Rattus norvegicus: one gene and its partners. The protein of the gene in region 3 interacts with the protein of the main gene of each other region in a pairwise test. Links are inferred from orthologs where the notes say so. Each region holds a gene or a part of one and is shown on either strand. Other genes may lie near its edges.

Region 1 (4,184 bases), about 60 Mb from region 3:
GAGTGTTGAATCCACCCATGCCCTCTTTGGGTTCTCATCTTGCTTTATCCTTCAGAATCCCTAGGTAATAACCGGACAGGATTAATTAACTGGCCGCTCTCCCACCTCCAGGTCTAGGGCAGGGACTAAGAACAAAGGAGACCATGATGGAGAAAGATGCTCAGTTGGGCTGGACAGGCAGGGGCAGGCAATTCTAATGAACAGGAGAGAACTGGGTAGGACTGGTGTACCCAGGGTCTCCATGAGGGAGGGCATGGGTCAGGCCACTCACTCATAAAGGTCACAGAGGGGATTAGGAGGCTCCATGACTAATCCAAAGGCTTAACCAAGTCCTGGCCCAGAATCCACCCCCACCTGAGCAGTCCAGGGACACAAATGAGGGCAAGACCTGGAAGCCCCACCCATCATGGGCCTGGGATTTACAAGTATGCCAGAGTCCCCACCATGCAGGCTCCTCACCGCTTCCCCTGCAAAGGGGAAGAGAATTCTGGGAGGAGAGATGAGTTTAAGGGCAGGAGTGTGGGGACTGAAAAGGTTGGGTCGAAGGAAGACTTTAAGTACCGACTCTTGGAGAACTGCCAAACTTGACAGTGCAAAGCGGAAGATTCTGAGGGAAAAGGGGTGCCTTGGGAGAATGCCTGGGGAAGGCAGAGTTTTCGGAAGAGGAAGCTAAGAGGGAGAGTTTAGAAGAGAGGAAGAGCCTGAAAAACAGACAAAGCGCTGGGAAGGTAGAGCCCTTGCATTCACGGTACCCAATACCGTAACATTTGGAAGACAGAATGCTTTTATTTACCATCCTTTGAGTCTGAGATTTCAGGTGTGTAGGAAAGTCTAATGTGGTGGTACGAAAGGGGTTCAAAGATTGCGACCTGCTAAGAAGTACCCTGAAAAGGGGGCAGAAAGACGGGCCTGTGAGGCTCCCAGTTGCTTGGCAACCACTGCGGTCAAAAGCTAGCATGGAGGGCCAGGAGGTGTGGCTGGAGCAACAACCCAAGGTTGAGACCCGCCCTTGACAACAAAACTAATAAGGCACCGCCCCCTAACAACGAATGCCTGCGGAGGGGTTGGTGGAGGAGGGTTAGGTAGCCCTAGTCTGGCTTGTGCGCAGGCGCAATCTCCCCTCTCCATGAAGTCACACCTCCTGGTCACTTCTTTTTCAGTTTTCTTATTGGAGGGTAAAACTGCCAAGGATTTTCCTTTGTCTTGGAGGCGGGACTGAACAAACTACCCATAGTCCGATTGGTCAGCCTAGCAGTCTATTGCCAGCTGTACGTTCCTGCATCTGCTTCTCGTGTGCCTATTGGTCCTGGAGATGATCCTGTGGTGTCGGGGGGCGGAGCAGTCGGGGAGACCCGCAGCGGATTGGGTGGTGTCAAAGCGAGGGGCGGGCCCCACCGGCCGGGCGGTTGGGCCGTGAAGGGAGAGTCTTTTCGGCGCTGAGGACGGGCGCTGAGGAGGCGGCGGTGGCTCCTGGGGCGTTTGAGCGGGCTCACTCGAGCCCGCGGGCCGACGCGGACGCAGGCCCAGCCGGCGGAAACGCCCCGGACTCCCCGCGGGCCTTCCTAGCCGCCATGGAGGACGGTGTCTACGGTAGGCCGGGCGAGGCGGGCGGGCGGGCGGAGCGGTTCCCAAGCCCCGCCGCGGACAGCAGAGCAGTGGCGAGGCGCCTTTCAGCGCGCGGGACGGGCTTCCGGCGCGGTCGAGAGCCGGGGGTCCCGGGCCATTGTTTGGGCCGAGCCCGCTTCCGGCGGCGGCGGCGGGCGGGGCGCGGAGCGGGGCGGGGCGGGGCGTACACCCGCGGGAGCAGCGGCCTGGCTTTCTTCCTGCAGACCTAGGCTTAACGCCGTCCCTACCGACCCTGACCCAGGATCCTGCTGCCCTATCCTGACTCTACTGTGTACCCAAGATCCAGACCACAGTGTCCGCTATGGCGGAACCAGAACCTCGGGTTCTTTCCAAGAAATGCACCCAAGATTCAGGACCCCCAACTTTCCCACCATGATGGAGCCAGAATCGGGCCCCCTTACAAGAAATGCACCAAAGGTCCATATTGTGGTGGATCCAGAAGCCAGAGTCCTGATTTCTTTCTAAGATTTGCACCCAAGATGCAGGATTCCCAGGTCCTCAACCACGAAGGGACCTACTCCCTTCCAAGATCTAGGGTTCCAAAGCCCTTTCGATGATGGAGCCATGAGCCCAAGGCCTTCCAAGTAATGTTTCCAGTATCCAAGCACCCTGTTCTACTGTGTTGGAACCAAGGAGCCAGGGCATCCAAATAAAGCATTTAAAATTCAGACTTAGAGTTTCTGACTGTGGTGGGACCAGGATCCCAGGGAGTGGTTCCCTTCCGAGTAATGGGCCCAGAAATGCATCCTCAGACCTATGAGATGGGATTCTCAGGGACTTCAGCCCCAAACTAAGGACTTCCGGGCCTTACTCCCCAGAACTAATCTCTTGACCCTGGTCCCCAGAGCCCCCAGACTTGACTCCAGAGGAGCGCATGGAGCTGGAGAACATCCGTCGGCGAAAGCAGGAGCTGCTGGTGGAGATCCAGCGCCTCCGGGAAGAGCTAAGTGAAGCTATGAGCGAAGTGGAGGGTCTGGAGGCCAATGAGGGCAGGTGAGGACCGTGGGAGTTCATGGGACATGGGGCGTAGCCAGGGCTCTGGGTGCTGAAGCATCGACCCTTGGCTGCTCACCACCCTGCTCTTGCAGTAAGACCTTGCAGCGGAACCGGAAGATGGCAATGGGCCGGAAGAAATTCAACATGGACCCCAAAAAGGTTAGCAGGGAAGATACTCAGGCACGGTTTTGACATCTCTGGTTCTAGAAGTGTTAAGACAGTAGGTTTCCTCTAGGCAGCAGGCTGGATCCCTAGACATCTGTCCAATGATTGTGTACTGAGGCCTTTGGGAGCCTGGCTCTGTGCTTTGCAATGCTGAGAACCCTAAGACCCTGCCATATTCTGGGGGACCCCTCGATATAAGTGCTTACAGTTCAGGATGAGATAGGTAGTAAGAGAGGGGCTTTCATGCCACAGGAAGAGCCAGGTAAGGGATTCCATGTTCCTGTCTACGTGGGCAGGTATGTGGTGTCAGCGTCATTTCTTTATTGTAATGTGTAGTAGTGTATCCAGTTATTCTTCAGACCCATTCCTCGACAGGCCCAGTTGTTCATGCTGGAATTAGCCGGAGAGGCTGAGGGAGTAGGCTAGGGATGGCACGTGGGGGGCTATGTGAAGGTGGTCGTGCTTTGTTAGGGTGAGGAAGCTTCGGTGCAGGAACCTCTGCCCTGAGCACAAATCTGGCCCCCTCCCTCCAGGGGATCCAATTCTTGGTGGAGCATGAACTTCTACAGAACACACCTGAGGAAATTGCCCGCTTCCTGTACAAGGGCGAGGGGCTGAACAAGACAGCCATTGGGGACTACCTAGGGGAAAGGTGAGCTGCCAGGCCTGCACAGTGCTTCCACCCTCTTTAGCGTCTCATGGGGTACAGCAGGTTTGTGGCCTCCACTGGGTCATGATACAATGGACTGACTAGCTCTGCAGGGGCAGGGTTTGAGTCTTGGGAGGTGGCACCTGTAGGCATCCAGTGAGTAAGGGCACCCGTTATGTTTGAGGGACTACTGAAGTCTGAATGTTAGCACCTTAACCGTGGATACACAACTGGGTTGTCTGGAAGTCTTGAGCCATGGGCCAGAGCCCCACGTGTGTAGAAACCTCTGTAGATGCGTGAGTGCATAGGAACTGGGAATTGCTCGTGGGTTCTTAGATAAAGGCCAGCTCTTGAGATAAGGCTTGTAGGGAGCACAAGAACAGTTGAGAGAAGTGACATCAGGTCCTTTGTGTGCTCAAAGCTTCGACGGGCTACAAGAGCAAAGTGTCCTCCTATTCCAGGACCCGACCTGTGCTTAAAGCCAGGGGACAGGCTGAGCCACTGTGGAGGCAGCACAGTGAACAAGATGTGACATTGTTATCTGTCCTATCACTCTCCTGATGTGACTGTATCTCCCTCCAGGGAAGAGCTGAACCTGTCTGTGCTCCATGCTTTTGTGGATCTACATGAGTTCACCGACCTCAATCTGGTTCAGGCCCTCCGGTGAGGATGGGGCAGAAATGCACCTGCCAGGGCCTTCTCAGCTGTGAGGGTCGAGCCATACCAACCAAAACAAGCCACACTCACT
Region 2 (4,015 bases), on a different chromosome or scaffold from region 3:
AGACCTGACTCTCCTTCCTCCCACTGTGGTTGGCCTGACCCCTTCATGCCCTGCAGAAGCCCAGAGAATCCCTGGACCTTCTCCAGGCAGTGATTTGCAGAGAGGGAGCTGTGAAGGGAGAAAGCTGGTTCTGGAGCTGCCCTTCTGCAGCACTGGATTTCACACCTTTGTTTCAGTCCGGAAGATCCTCCCTCAAACCTCCCAGCGCCTCTTTTGCTATACTTTTAGGTTTTTTGTTTTTGAGGTGCAGTTTCACTATATTGTCCTCCTGCCTCAGCTTCCAGGGAAGCTGGACTAACAACAGGCATGCAACAGGCAGGCACCACTACCTCAGGCCTTTCTGGGGTAAGGAGGGTTTGCACGGTGTATGGGGGACATCCTGGAAAGGGAGCTACAACTTGGTGATGCCCCAGCCCATATATGAGACTCTCTGAGTCTTTGGGAATCAGTCCTCTCTTTTTCCCTGGTTTCTGGGATGCACGCTAGGCAAGTGCTCATCACTGAGCAGCACAGCTCAGCCACTTGTCTAGAGTTCACAGGACAGGGTGTTCCCTAGGGGCCTTTTCAGATATTAGTTGGTTGTTTCCACTAATTAATTCTGCAGAGACCTCCTGCGGCATAAATGCTTTCACCTCCACAGAAGCGGTCCCCCGCCCCCACACTGCAAAGGAGGATCAACTGGTCCTCCCAAAAAAAGCCCCAGAGTCCGTGAATTGACGCTAAGGTAGTAAAGCGGGCAGTTATGTCGTCCTGTGAAACTTGGCGCCGGCAGGAATTCCTCCTGGACAAGCTGGAGTGAGAGGTGGATTCAACCAGAGTCACCTACCCTTCGGTGACACCCGTGACCTTGAGTCTGTTTAACCAGCCCAGTGGCTGGACACCGGCCCCCGCTTAGTAAGCCACGCCCGCGGCCTACGCTCGCTTGTGAAACTTAAAACCCGAAACTGCCCCGCCCCGCGGAGAGTGAGGGGGCCGTACCTAAGAAGCGGGGGCGTGGTTTAGGGTGGAATCATAGGTAGGCCGCGCGTGCGTAAACGCAAACCAAAGAGGCCCGCACGCGGACGGGGCCTAGAGGGCGTTCACGCAGGCGCGCTTTTGCTGCGGGCGGGACCTTGTGCCGGGGGCGGTGCCTCGGGCGGCGCGTGCGCAGGCGCGTGCTGGGCAGTGCGGGCGCGGTGCGGGGGGCGGGGCTCCGCGGTTCGTAGCTGGACTGTGGCGAGCTGGTGTCTGGCAGGACGCGGGCTGCGGGAGGTCAGTGGCGGTCGGTGGCCGGAGTCGGTCGCCGGCACCATGGAGGACGATGACAGCTATGGTGAGTGAGGCCGGTCCACTGCCCCTTCGTGCGCTTCCGCCTGCGCCGGTGCCCCTGGGACGGGGCACCGAGTGCTGGCAGCCGGCAGTGCGAGGGCCCGGGGGTGACTGCCCAGGCGCTCAGGGACCTGAGGGTCGCCGGGACTGAGGGTCGCCTGGTCCTTAGGGTCGCCGTGAACTGAGAGTCACCCGGGCCTGATGGTCGCCGGGAGCTGAGTGTCATTCCGGCCTGAGGGTCGCCGGGGCTACGGGTCACCCAGGCCTGTAGGGTCACGGGCAGGGGTCGCCCGAACTTGAGGGCACCGAGATGGGCAGGTGTTAACTCGGGGCTTTCGGCTTCCGGGAGCGGGATTGCTCGGACCCGAGGGTCGCTGGGGCTGAGGTTTGCGAGTCTGGGGACCCCGGGAGGGGAGTCACACAGGTTAGAGGGTCTCCGCGGCCGGCGGCGTGTAACCGGAGCGCTGAGGGTCATGAGGATGCTGAGGAGCCCCGGGGCGCGGAGGGGCATCAGGGCCGGGTGACTGGGGTCGGAGTCTTCGAAACCAGTCGCCTGCTGCTTGTCACCGGGTTGGCCAACGCCGTGAGCGAGCGGCCGCGGGACTAACACGCCCGCCCGGCCTGTGTTCCCTGGTAGTTTCCGGCTCTCGGGGTGTTAGAAGTTATGTGCCCCAGCTAGCTAGCTCTTTGTTCTAAGATGAACACAAATGGCCAGAACCGGGGGCCTCTGAGACGGGACGTCGGTCAGGTTTGTGCTACCGTCGCATGGTGAATTAGCTCCTGGTCCCCAAGTCTGTCAGTCAGGGCCTGGCCACACTGGGCAAGGAGATCAAGTTTGAGCTATTGCCTGAAGGTAACGACACCAATCCACATCCTCCAACAGGGCATTCAGCGATTTAGACTCTCCTGGCTAACCTTGGTGCTTGTTGGCGTCCAGCCAGGGCTCTGGTCCCTCAGAGGGCGTGCAGTCTCTGGAGTTGTAGAAGGTTATTTCAAATGCTTTACATGGTGGTTGTTAGCCTTGTTTCCAAGAGGAATGGAAGAAGGAATGGCAGGTAGACCGAGCGGCGGCGAACTTTATTGGTTTGTCAGGGAAGTATGGATCAGGAACTTAACGTGCTTATGGGGCATAATGGAGCCAAACTCTGGCGTGTTGCCTCACAGGCTGCACTGCCTCCTCACACACTGGTGAAGAGTATTAAAATAATACCAAAAGGGAAGCGTGTTAGGTCTCTGCAGGCAAGTCCTTAGAGAACTCCCAACCGGTGAAGCCTTGAAGGTTGTGGCTAAAAACTCCCTAAACTTTTCAGAAAAGTGAACCTGTGTTTCCCTGAATGTTAGAGGTCTGTGCTTGTCTGTTCAGCCAGCCTTTGCTGCCTTCCAGGTAGAAGTGGTATGTGCCTTCCTTTGTGACAGAAAAGCAGTCACCCGCAGGCCGACCCCTGAGGGATTGTTAGGCCCCTTTGGACCCTCAGGGTTTTTCTTCTGCTGGAAACCTTCACCTGGTTTCCTCACTGCTCTTTTCTCTCCCTCTTGTCCTTTGTTGCCCCTAGGCGCCAGGGCTCTGCCAAGCTTTGGTCTTACCCTCCCCTGGTTATTGCCTGCTGGGTGGTGAGGCAAGAGGCGGCTCTTCTGGTTGGTTTTAATAGTGACTTCCTTGACTCAGGCATGACTTGTACTAGGAAAGGAAACATGGACGTGTTTTGGTTCCTGTTACTGCCAGGAATAGAGGCGCTCAGACCCAAATTTATAGTTCTGGAGGTCAGAAAATCCAAAATAGGTCACACTGGGCTGATACCAATATTTTGTTAGGGCAGTGTTCCTTCCAGAGATTGGAGGGAAAAGCTGGCCTCCATTGCTTTCCTAGCTCTAGAGAATGCTTGCTTCCCCTGGTATCAATCTTTAAAGGCAATCCCCTGGGTAACATCTCTTTACTCCCTTGCTACCCTTTCACAAGAACACTGGTATGTCACACCCACTTGGATAACCCAGGATAAGGGTCACAGCCATCCACAAATTCAGCCTCCCTTTTGCCACATGGGTATACACTTTTAAAGATTTGAGGATTGGGAAGTTCACATCTTTAACTTTTTAAAATATTCATTCACTCATTTACTGCATATGGAGAGGACATACTTACAGGAGTTGGTTCCCTGCTTCTGCTCTGCCCGTCCTGGGATGAAACTCAGGTTCCTAGACTTATCACCAAGTGCTTTCTAACCCACTGGGACACATCACCATCCCAGATGTGGGTATGCATACGTGCAAGCCTTCAAGAGAGCTGCACAGGAGGATGAAAAGGAAGCTTATTTCACCTTGTATACACTTTTATTTTTTACACTTTTTTTATTTGAGAGGAACTAAAGGAATTAAATACAAGAGAACTCCGCAAGTATCATAGTATAAAATGACCACGTGGAGGCTGAGACCAGCTTCCTTCCTCTCTTTCTCCCTCTCTCCTTCCTTCCTTCCCTTCCTCTCCTTTTCTTCTCTCTTTTCTCTTTCCATTTTTAGTTGGGGAACATCTCCCTATGATTCCACAGGGCTGGCCTCAAACTCCTAGGTTTAAGTAAATGGTCTTCCTGCCTCAGCCTTCTGAGTAGCTGGCCCTGTGTTGATTCTGTGTCTGGCTGAGCTCCCAGTTTGGTCTGTGATAGTATCGGACTATACAGAGTGTACTCGGTCCGGTTTCCACATGCTAAGAGGA
Region 3 (3,500 bases):
CTTGTTTTTGCTCATTTCATTGTGAATCAAAAATAACGACAAGTTATCATTGCACTCACAAACGTTCTACAGAATTGTTCTAACGTAGTGTTTAAGTTGTTGGAAATGTTGAAAGTTTTGAGTAAAACAATCTTGCTATAGGGATTTTTCAAATCTTATATAGTAAACTCAAAACCCCACAAAAGGCTCTTAGCTGGCATACAGAAACGAGTGTCACACATTTTTCCTTTTTCCTCTGACTTTTTAAAAAAGTTTCTGATCACTTTTTTGAAACAATTCTGGGCAAATTTGAATAAAATTCGGACAGAGAGAATGATAATTCACAGTCTCTCTTCTTTTCCTCCTCTTCCTTCTGATTTTATTTGTGGAAAATAGGCTGCACGGCGGGCATCTTCTTCTTCACCCAAACGGAGAGAAACATCATGTTCTTTCTCTTCTCTGGAAAATACAGTAAAGGCACCCAGCCGGTTTTCTTCCTCGGGATCTAAAGAAAGACAGTCGTGGCTTGACATAGTTAACAGCTCGCCTGCTACCGAAGATGTGGGACATCCCCTGTCATTTGCTGTACAGGTCCACACACTTGCCTCCTCAGAGGCAAGCAGTTGCCGGGTCTCAGAAAACAGCTCCACAACACCAGAAAGTGGTTGTTTGAACTCTTTGTCTAGTGATGACACTTCTTCACTGAACAACAGTCAAGACCATCTAACAGTCCCAGACAGAGCTTCTGGATCAAGAATGACAGACAGAGGTAAACCAGGAAATTGCTTATTCTTCTTAGATGGCAAATATTTGTTGGGGGCATTATATAACTCTGATATAAAATTGTAACAAAAAGGTTTTAAACTCATGAATGGCTATTTGATAATTAGTCACATGGGTTTAGCTGCTGGCTCCTTTGGTAGAATTTGCCTGTGGCAACTCTGGTTGCTAAGTGTCACTAACCAAATAAAGCAGGCAGGCATGTGTTCATATGGTAACTCCTCCCCATAAATTTGGGGAACCCCCTTTTATGGTTCCGTAGTCTAATAATTAAGCCCTGGGGATCTGTAAAGTGCATTTATTTTGGTTGAATGTTACCAGATGGGCTTAGAGAGGCCATCTTCCTGTTGGAAAGGGCTGATCAGTGGTCTCTTAAGGGTATCTTTGTAATTGATGGAAGGCAGATATTTCACATGCATTCTCAAGGGCATCACCTACAGACGAGGCAACAGCTTATATTTATGGGAAAGAGTTTTCTCTTGACAAAAGAAATAGTTGTGTGTAGAAATCAATAATGTGTCTTAAATATTCTTTGATAACTTTCATTTTTGATTCAGGACAAATGTGTGTCTATCACTACCCATTCATGACAAGTCTTTTCTAATTGTGCCTCATTCATTTTGGTGTAAAACAAGGATATCTGATGTCAGTGAGCAACTGGAGAATAATGGATTTGCACTGTAAGTTTTCAGTGTACTGCTAAAAGTTGGCTTGCTAAATTCCTATGCTAACTTGCAGTGGTTGCCCAATGACATGAATGACCATTCTTTCTCCTCTACCCTGAGCAGGGAGGGTGTCCTTAAGTTCTCAGGTATGGGGCTGGAGATACTCAGTGGCTTAGCGCTGCTCTTTAGGCACTCAGTTCCTAGCACCCGCATTGGGTGGCTCACAACCACCTGTACCTCCAGCCCAAGGGATCTATGTTCTCCTCAGGCTTCTGTTTGTATCCAAATGCATTGTGGATGCACATGCATGGGCATAGATGCACACACACACATGCACTCACATACGCATGCACACACATGTATACAGAGAAAGGGGGGCATATATATATATGTATATATATATATTGTGAAGTAAACCCTTAAAAAGTATCAATATTTTGGATATTCCCTATTAATTTAATTTTTAGAAGACAATAATTTAGGCCAGAGCTCACAACTATGTGCCAGGATGCAACTATATGCTGCGTGTGTGTGTGTGTGTGTGTGTGTGTGTGTGTGTATGTATGTATGTGTGTGTGTGTGCGTGTATGTGTATGTGTGTGTGCGTGTATGTGTGTGTGTGTGTTTGTATGTGTGTGTGTGTGTGTGTGTGTGTGTGCATGAGGGCATACTATATTTTAATACATGTGAAGTTAAACAGCCAGGCTAGTAACTCATTCTTGAAGTCACTCAGTTGTCACTGTTTTTTAGGGCTTTCTCCATGGATGCTTTATATTAAGTGATATTTTACATTGATATCTTCAATCTGAACCAATTACCCACTTTTTATTAGAAAATAACTTCTAGAGGTAGCTGAGTAGGTAGGGTAGGTAGGAGATAACCTTTGAGGGAGAGGGCTAAGAGGATTGTTCTGTGAGGAAGGGAAGTAGTGGTCTCTGTCTGGCCACAAATATATGAGGGGATGTTGTACAAACAAAGTATTGGGATTAATAGCATCTCCCTTGGCATAGGCAAGTAAGGTCAGTGGTGTGATCAGACGGGAGGTATAAATATGAGTTAAGAAACTTCTTTTTCTGAAGCTATGAGCTGTTCAAAACAGAAGAGACAGCTCATGCCTATGTGACTATCACTGGATGTGCATACTATTTGGAAATGGCCATTTTCCTCAAATATAGAGTGTGCAGTACATATTGATTATATTTTTTGTTCTGGCAAAGACACAGAATTTCAAGTGTGGGTTTTAAGTGACCTTTAGCTTTGCGATTACAAGATGCAAATGTGGTCTCGCACGCATCACAAAGTATTTGGGCAGCACAAATTAGTACTGAGGGGTTTTGTTTGTTTTTAAAGGACACAAAGTTAGGAGGGTCAGGATGAATACATGGATAGGACATGAATCTGGAAGAGTTGTGGTGGAAGAGGTTGAATATGATTATAACACTTTGAACAAAACTCTCATAAAAATGAATGAGTGAATGAATGAAAATAAATGTAAAAGAGAAAAAAAAAAGATATAGATGTTAAGAATGGAGAAGCCAAACAATTGTTTCCCATTGAAGAACTGACTGTAATCATTTGTTTAGAAGGAGAAATACAAGAGGGGTTGACAGGATAATTCAGTGAGTAAAGTAGGTGGTGTATAAGTCTAACAACCCCAATTTAAGCCTGGATAATCATAAAGATAATTAGAAAAAAAGTGAACGAACTCTTTTTATCTATCTTTTTTTTTTTTTTCGGAGCTGGGGACCGAACCCAGGGCCTTGCGCTTGCTAGGCAAGCGCTCTACCACTGAACTAAATCCCCAACCCCGTGAACGAACTCTTAAAGGTTGTCCTTTGACTTCTGCACATGTACTGTGGCACATGTGTGCCCCCATACACCTCACACATACAACAACAATAACAACAACAATAAACTGTGCCCCATATACCTCACATATACAATAGTAATAATAATAATAATAATAATTATAATAATATATGTGTCTCCATATACCTTCATATACAATAACAACAACAACAACAACAATAATAATTATAAAAGGATGTGGAAATTCCTCTCTCCTCTCTGTAACAA
Region 4 (4,231 bases), on a different chromosome or scaffold from region 3:
ACTACTATTCGAATACATTTAGCTTTTTTTTTTTTTAATCTTCTAAGAAAGCTGAAACAGGGCTCCCAGATGCAGATTAAAGGTCTCTCCTGGGGTTGGGGATTTAGCTCAGTGGTAGAGCGCTTGCCTAGCAGGCCGCAAGGCCCTGGGTTCGGTCCCCAACTCTCGGGAAAAAAAAAAAAAAGATGCCAAAGCACCCGTAAGTATCTTACCACAATGTGAGCAGGAAAGATTTTTTTTTGATAAGCTGAATCAATAAAAATTAAAAAGCCGTTTTCTATCACATAGCACACTGTCTGGCATTCCAGCAGGGAAAGAAAAAAAAATCAATAAATCTCTTTGTTGTCAAATGTTCCAGGAAGGTGAATTAAATCACGCTGTATGTTTAAAATATGTGGATCTTTTATAAGCCCAGATTTTTTTTTTTTTGGTCTAAATTTGAAAGCATGTGTTCTTATTCAAAAAACCTGGGAAATATAAGAGAAAATCCATAATGACAGCAGTATTTACATTGTTTAGATCAGAATGTATAAAAGAACTGCTTGTCCTTGGTAACTTTTTAAAACTGCATGTGTGCGCAAGCTTGTTGCTGCTTGCCTGAGGAGGTCAGAAGACAACTTGTGGGCGGCAGGGCCCTCCTCCACCATGTGGCTCCTGGAGAGTGAGCTCCAGCTGTCAATTTGTAATGTCTCCCTGAAGTAACCTTACCTGGTCGCGGTTACTGTGTCTCATTTTTTAACTGTTGGCCATGACAGTGCAGTATCATTGAACTGAACATCTTTTTTTTTTTTTTAATTTTAAGAGTGTTTCTCTGGTACATTAATATATCCAGAGACATTAATGGTCCAGAGATAGCTTTAAGCCTTCCTGCTACTTTAATATTGACCTTCATTATACTTCTCAAATTCCAGGGACTGCTGAAACACATTGGCTTCTAAGTTTCCCCCACTGTATCTGCTTTTACCTTCAAATCTTTCACATGTTGACTCAACAGACTGCAGCACCTGCAAAGCCGTCCCCAATTCAGCTTCCTGGATTCCAATGTCCAATTGCCACTGTCCTGTCTTTTCTAAACTATGTCAAACTGTGATATAGGCGAAAGGCAAGGCATCCACAGGGATCCAGTGCCTCCAGCCCCGCAGCCGGTCTGTAGGAGGGTTTGCAACTGGGCTCTTTCTTTTCACAAACAAAACACCCACTCGGTGCCACTGTGCTACCCCTGGCTTTTACTATGAGAACTGAACTTGGCAAATGCCACGAGGAGTGCCAACTTCCTACCAGCCCAGCCACCCCGTTTCTTTCACAGAGAAGGAAAAAAAAAATCTGAGAAGCTCTGGAATTCTAGAAGGCACCTTGATTAACCACTTCACGGGGAAGTCTTCAATATTGCTGATTCTTACAGGCAGCTGCTCCAGCAGCCTGTAATTAAGACTTTTTTCCCCCCTAAACACTCCCTTATTACATGGGACTCTGATCATTCTGTCAGCAAAAAGGAAGATCGTTACTCAAAGTCCAGACAGCTTCAACTTGGGGTGTTTGGGTAAAAATGATGGGTACATTATTAACCCCTTGCTTTCTCAATCAAAGACCCACTCGACGAACGGGGACTCTTAATGTTTTGGGAAACCAAATTCATGAAATGATACAACAGGAATTTGTAATCCGTTGAGTAATTTGCAACCAGCACATCTGCAGGAGGACAGAATTCAAAGTCAGGCACATAGAGCCTGAGCAACACCGAGAACTGATAACCCACCTCTGGAAGGGTGTCTGCCCCTGAGAAATGATAACCACCTCAGGAAGGGTGTCTGCCACACACACCTGTCCTGGAGTCTTACAGCCTTGTTGGCTGTGGCTCCCGCTTCCCACCCTCGGCTTTAGAGAGATCCCACCTGACCCCTTTAATTTCTTAATTATATTTTCCATTTGGTGGTGTTGTGAACAAACTCAGGGCCATGCTAGACAATTATTCTATCATTCAGCTATTTGCCCCCCTCTTTATTTTTGCACCCCACCCCTTCTCTGTAGCATTTTTTTTTTCTATTTGATAAAAATGCATACTCAGACCTGGACTGGAGCTGCCTGTCCCTCATGTCCTTTAAGCCATTCCCAACGAGTACTTCTGATCTAAAACCCGGAGACGTTGTTATGACTTCCAACCTTCCTCCTCTCCCCCGGACCGATCCAACAGACCCCACCCCCGGGCCCCGAGGCGTCCAAATTGAAAACTTTCCCCTCCCCATCCACGAGCTCCCAAGCTCCAGACACCTGAGGAGAGCTGAAAAGGAGAGGGGCCCGTCCGAAACAGCTGGACTAGGGAGGGCGTGGACGCCCTTGGCAATGAGACGCTGGGAAGGTCGCCCCGCAATGTGCTCCCATCTCGGAAAGGCGACCTGGAGCTGTGCAGCGAAGACCCTGGCCTCGAACCCGCGACCCGCTACCGCGCTGGGCGACGACCCTGCGGTCTCCGACTTGTCCTCTCACCAACGCTGCGAAGCCCGCGTCCCGGCCTTACCCCGAGCACCTCCCCACGGTCGCCACCAACCCACCCGACACCCGGCCCCACATCTCAAGCCAGGGCTCTCAACAGCGCGACCCCCGGCCTCAGGGCCGCCCAGAGAGCCGGCCACACCTCCATCACTCACCGCTGCCGCCCTCACCGCCACCGCCTTCGTCCATCTTGAGGCCACTCCCAGCCAGCCGGCGAGCCCGGAGCCGGCGGGAGCGACTGGGCTGAAAGCCGGGACTAGGAGAAGTGGTCGCGGGGAGAACGGAGGAGCTCCTCAGCGTGCGCGGCCCGGGTCGCGGCCGGGCCTCCACGGAGGGCCGGGCGGAGCCTCGCTGCTCCGGCGCCGTCACGTGACATAAACCACGCCCCCCTCTGTGGGTGTGGGCGGAGACTAGACGCCTAGTGGTCCCGCCCTCCAGACTCCGCCGGGCCTTGCAGTAGCTGCAGTAGCTGCTTAGCCTAGAGACTTGGATCCTGCAGCGCTGCACCCTCCTTCGAACCTGGTGTCTGCCCCTCTAGAGCATCCTGGAGAGGAAGCCGTGTCTATCAGGAGCACGAGGACGCCCCGCTCTACAAAACCAAATGGCTATGTTGCGACTCGCAAGTGCATGGAGTAGGGGAGTGGGAAAAGATCTGGAAGGGAAGGCTGATGATGATTGGCTCAACGAAAAGAACTAACTATAAGTTTTACTGTGACCGCAGCATGCATGGGCGTCCAAACATGACATACACACAGTAATAATTGTGTGAGGAGATAGTTCTGTTGTTAAGAGCACTCTCTGCTCTTGAAGAGAGCCAGAGTTTGTTTCCAGCACTCACAGAACCCTTGTAACTACAGCTCCAAAAAGGATCGGATACTTCTGGCCTCCAAAGACACCTGTACTCATATGAGGGTTATCTGGAACACTCTTCTTGCCTCCAACGACACCAGGCATGCTTGTGGTGCATACATACACGCGGGCAAAACACCTATACACACAAAATAAATTTAAAAGAAAAACTTTTTTGAGACAGGGTTTCTCTGCATAGCCCTCAATATCATGGAACTCTCTGTGTGTACCAGGCTAACCTTCGACTCAGAGGTCTTCCTGCCTCTGACACCCGAATGCTGGAACTAAAAGGATGAGCCAAGGGGTTGGGGATTTAGCTCAGTGGTAGAGCGCTTGCCTAGCAAGCACAAGGCCCTGGGTTCGGTCCTCAGCTCCGAAGGGGAAAAAAAAAAGAAAAGAAAAAGAAAAGGATGACCCAACATGCCCAGCTAAATAATTTTTTTTTCAAATGTTTATTTTAAAAAATAATTTTAAAAATAATAAAAATTGGGTGTGATGCTTTGATGACAGCAAGCAAATCTCTATGAATTCTTCGTGGGCTTGGTCTATATAGTGAGTTCTAGGTTAGCCAGAGATACCTAGTGAGTCCCTGTCTGAAATAATAACAATAATAATAATCGTCATCATCATCGTCTGAAAATGAGCCCACTGTGAAGAAGCCTCTCCCTCTCCCCACCTCCTCCCTTCTTCATCCTCAAGATGTTAGGGTAATTCCAGCCTTTTATCCCTTCCGTGTATAATGAAAATGGAGTCTCTTTTTCCTGCGGATTGGATGCATTTTAAAATTAACAAAGTATCGAGGTTTGTAAATGAATGTAGTCATGACGTTGAACCCTAATCCCAGTCCAGCACAGCTGGGGCCCAGCTCTCAAAAAGCCTGATTACAGAGGTT

What was found.
Region 1: the proteins of Ipcef1 (region 3) and Cyth2 interact in binary tests that used the Homo sapiens proteins (3 or more experiments, as listed by UniProt). The link is inferred for Rattus norvegicus from reciprocal best matches to the Homo sapiens genes IPCEF1 and CYTH2.
Region 2: the proteins of Ipcef1 (region 3) and Cyth1 interact in binary tests that used the Homo sapiens proteins (3 or more experiments, as listed by UniProt). The link is inferred for Rattus norvegicus from reciprocal best matches to the Homo sapiens genes IPCEF1 and CYTH1.
Region 4: the proteins of Ipcef1 (region 3) and Cyth3 interact in binary tests that used the Homo sapiens proteins (3 or more experiments, as listed by UniProt). The link is inferred for Rattus norvegicus from reciprocal best matches to the Homo sapiens genes IPCEF1 and CYTH3.

The regions. Positions count from the first base shown.
Region 1 is NC_086019.1:105,424,743-105,428,926, reverse strand, and holds the start of Cyth2 (cytohesin-2), read left to right. Parts: upstream 1-1,384; 5' UTR 1,385-1,571; coding exon 1,572-1,590; intron 1,591-2,471; coding exon 2,472-2,619; intron 2,620-2,714; coding exon 2,715-2,781; intron 2,782-3,320; coding exon 3,321-3,439; intron 3,440-4,018; coding exon 4,019-4,099; intron 4,100-4,184. UniProt on the Homo sapiens protein: Acts as a guanine-nucleotide exchange factor (GEF). Promotes guanine-nucleotide exchange on ARF1, ARF3 and ARF6. Activates ARF factors through replacement of GDP with GTP.
Region 2 is NC_086028.1:103,981,584-103,985,598, reverse strand, and holds the start of Cyth1 (cytohesin-1), read left to right. Parts: upstream 1-1,215; 5' UTR 1,216-1,290; coding exon 1,291-1,312; intron 1,313-4,015. UniProt on the Homo sapiens protein: Promotes guanine-nucleotide exchange on ARF1, ARF5 and ARF6. Promotes the activation of ARF factors through replacement of GDP with GTP.
Region 3 is NC_086019.1:45,703,494-45,706,993, reverse strand, and holds part of Ipcef1 (interactor protein for cytohesin exchange factors 1), read left to right. Parts: intron 1-375; coding exon 376-748; intron 749-3,500. UniProt on the Homo sapiens protein: Enhances the promotion of guanine-nucleotide exchange by PSCD2 on ARF6 in a concentration-dependent manner.
Region 4 is NC_086030.1:16,044,629-16,048,859, forward strand, and holds the start of Cyth3 (cytohesin-3), read right to left. Parts: upstream 2,801-4,231; 5' UTR 2,680-2,800; coding exon 2,646-2,679; intron 1-2,645. UniProt on the Homo sapiens protein: Promotes guanine-nucleotide exchange on ARF1 and ARF6. Promotes the activation of ARF factors through replacement of GDP with GTP. Plays a role in the epithelial polarization.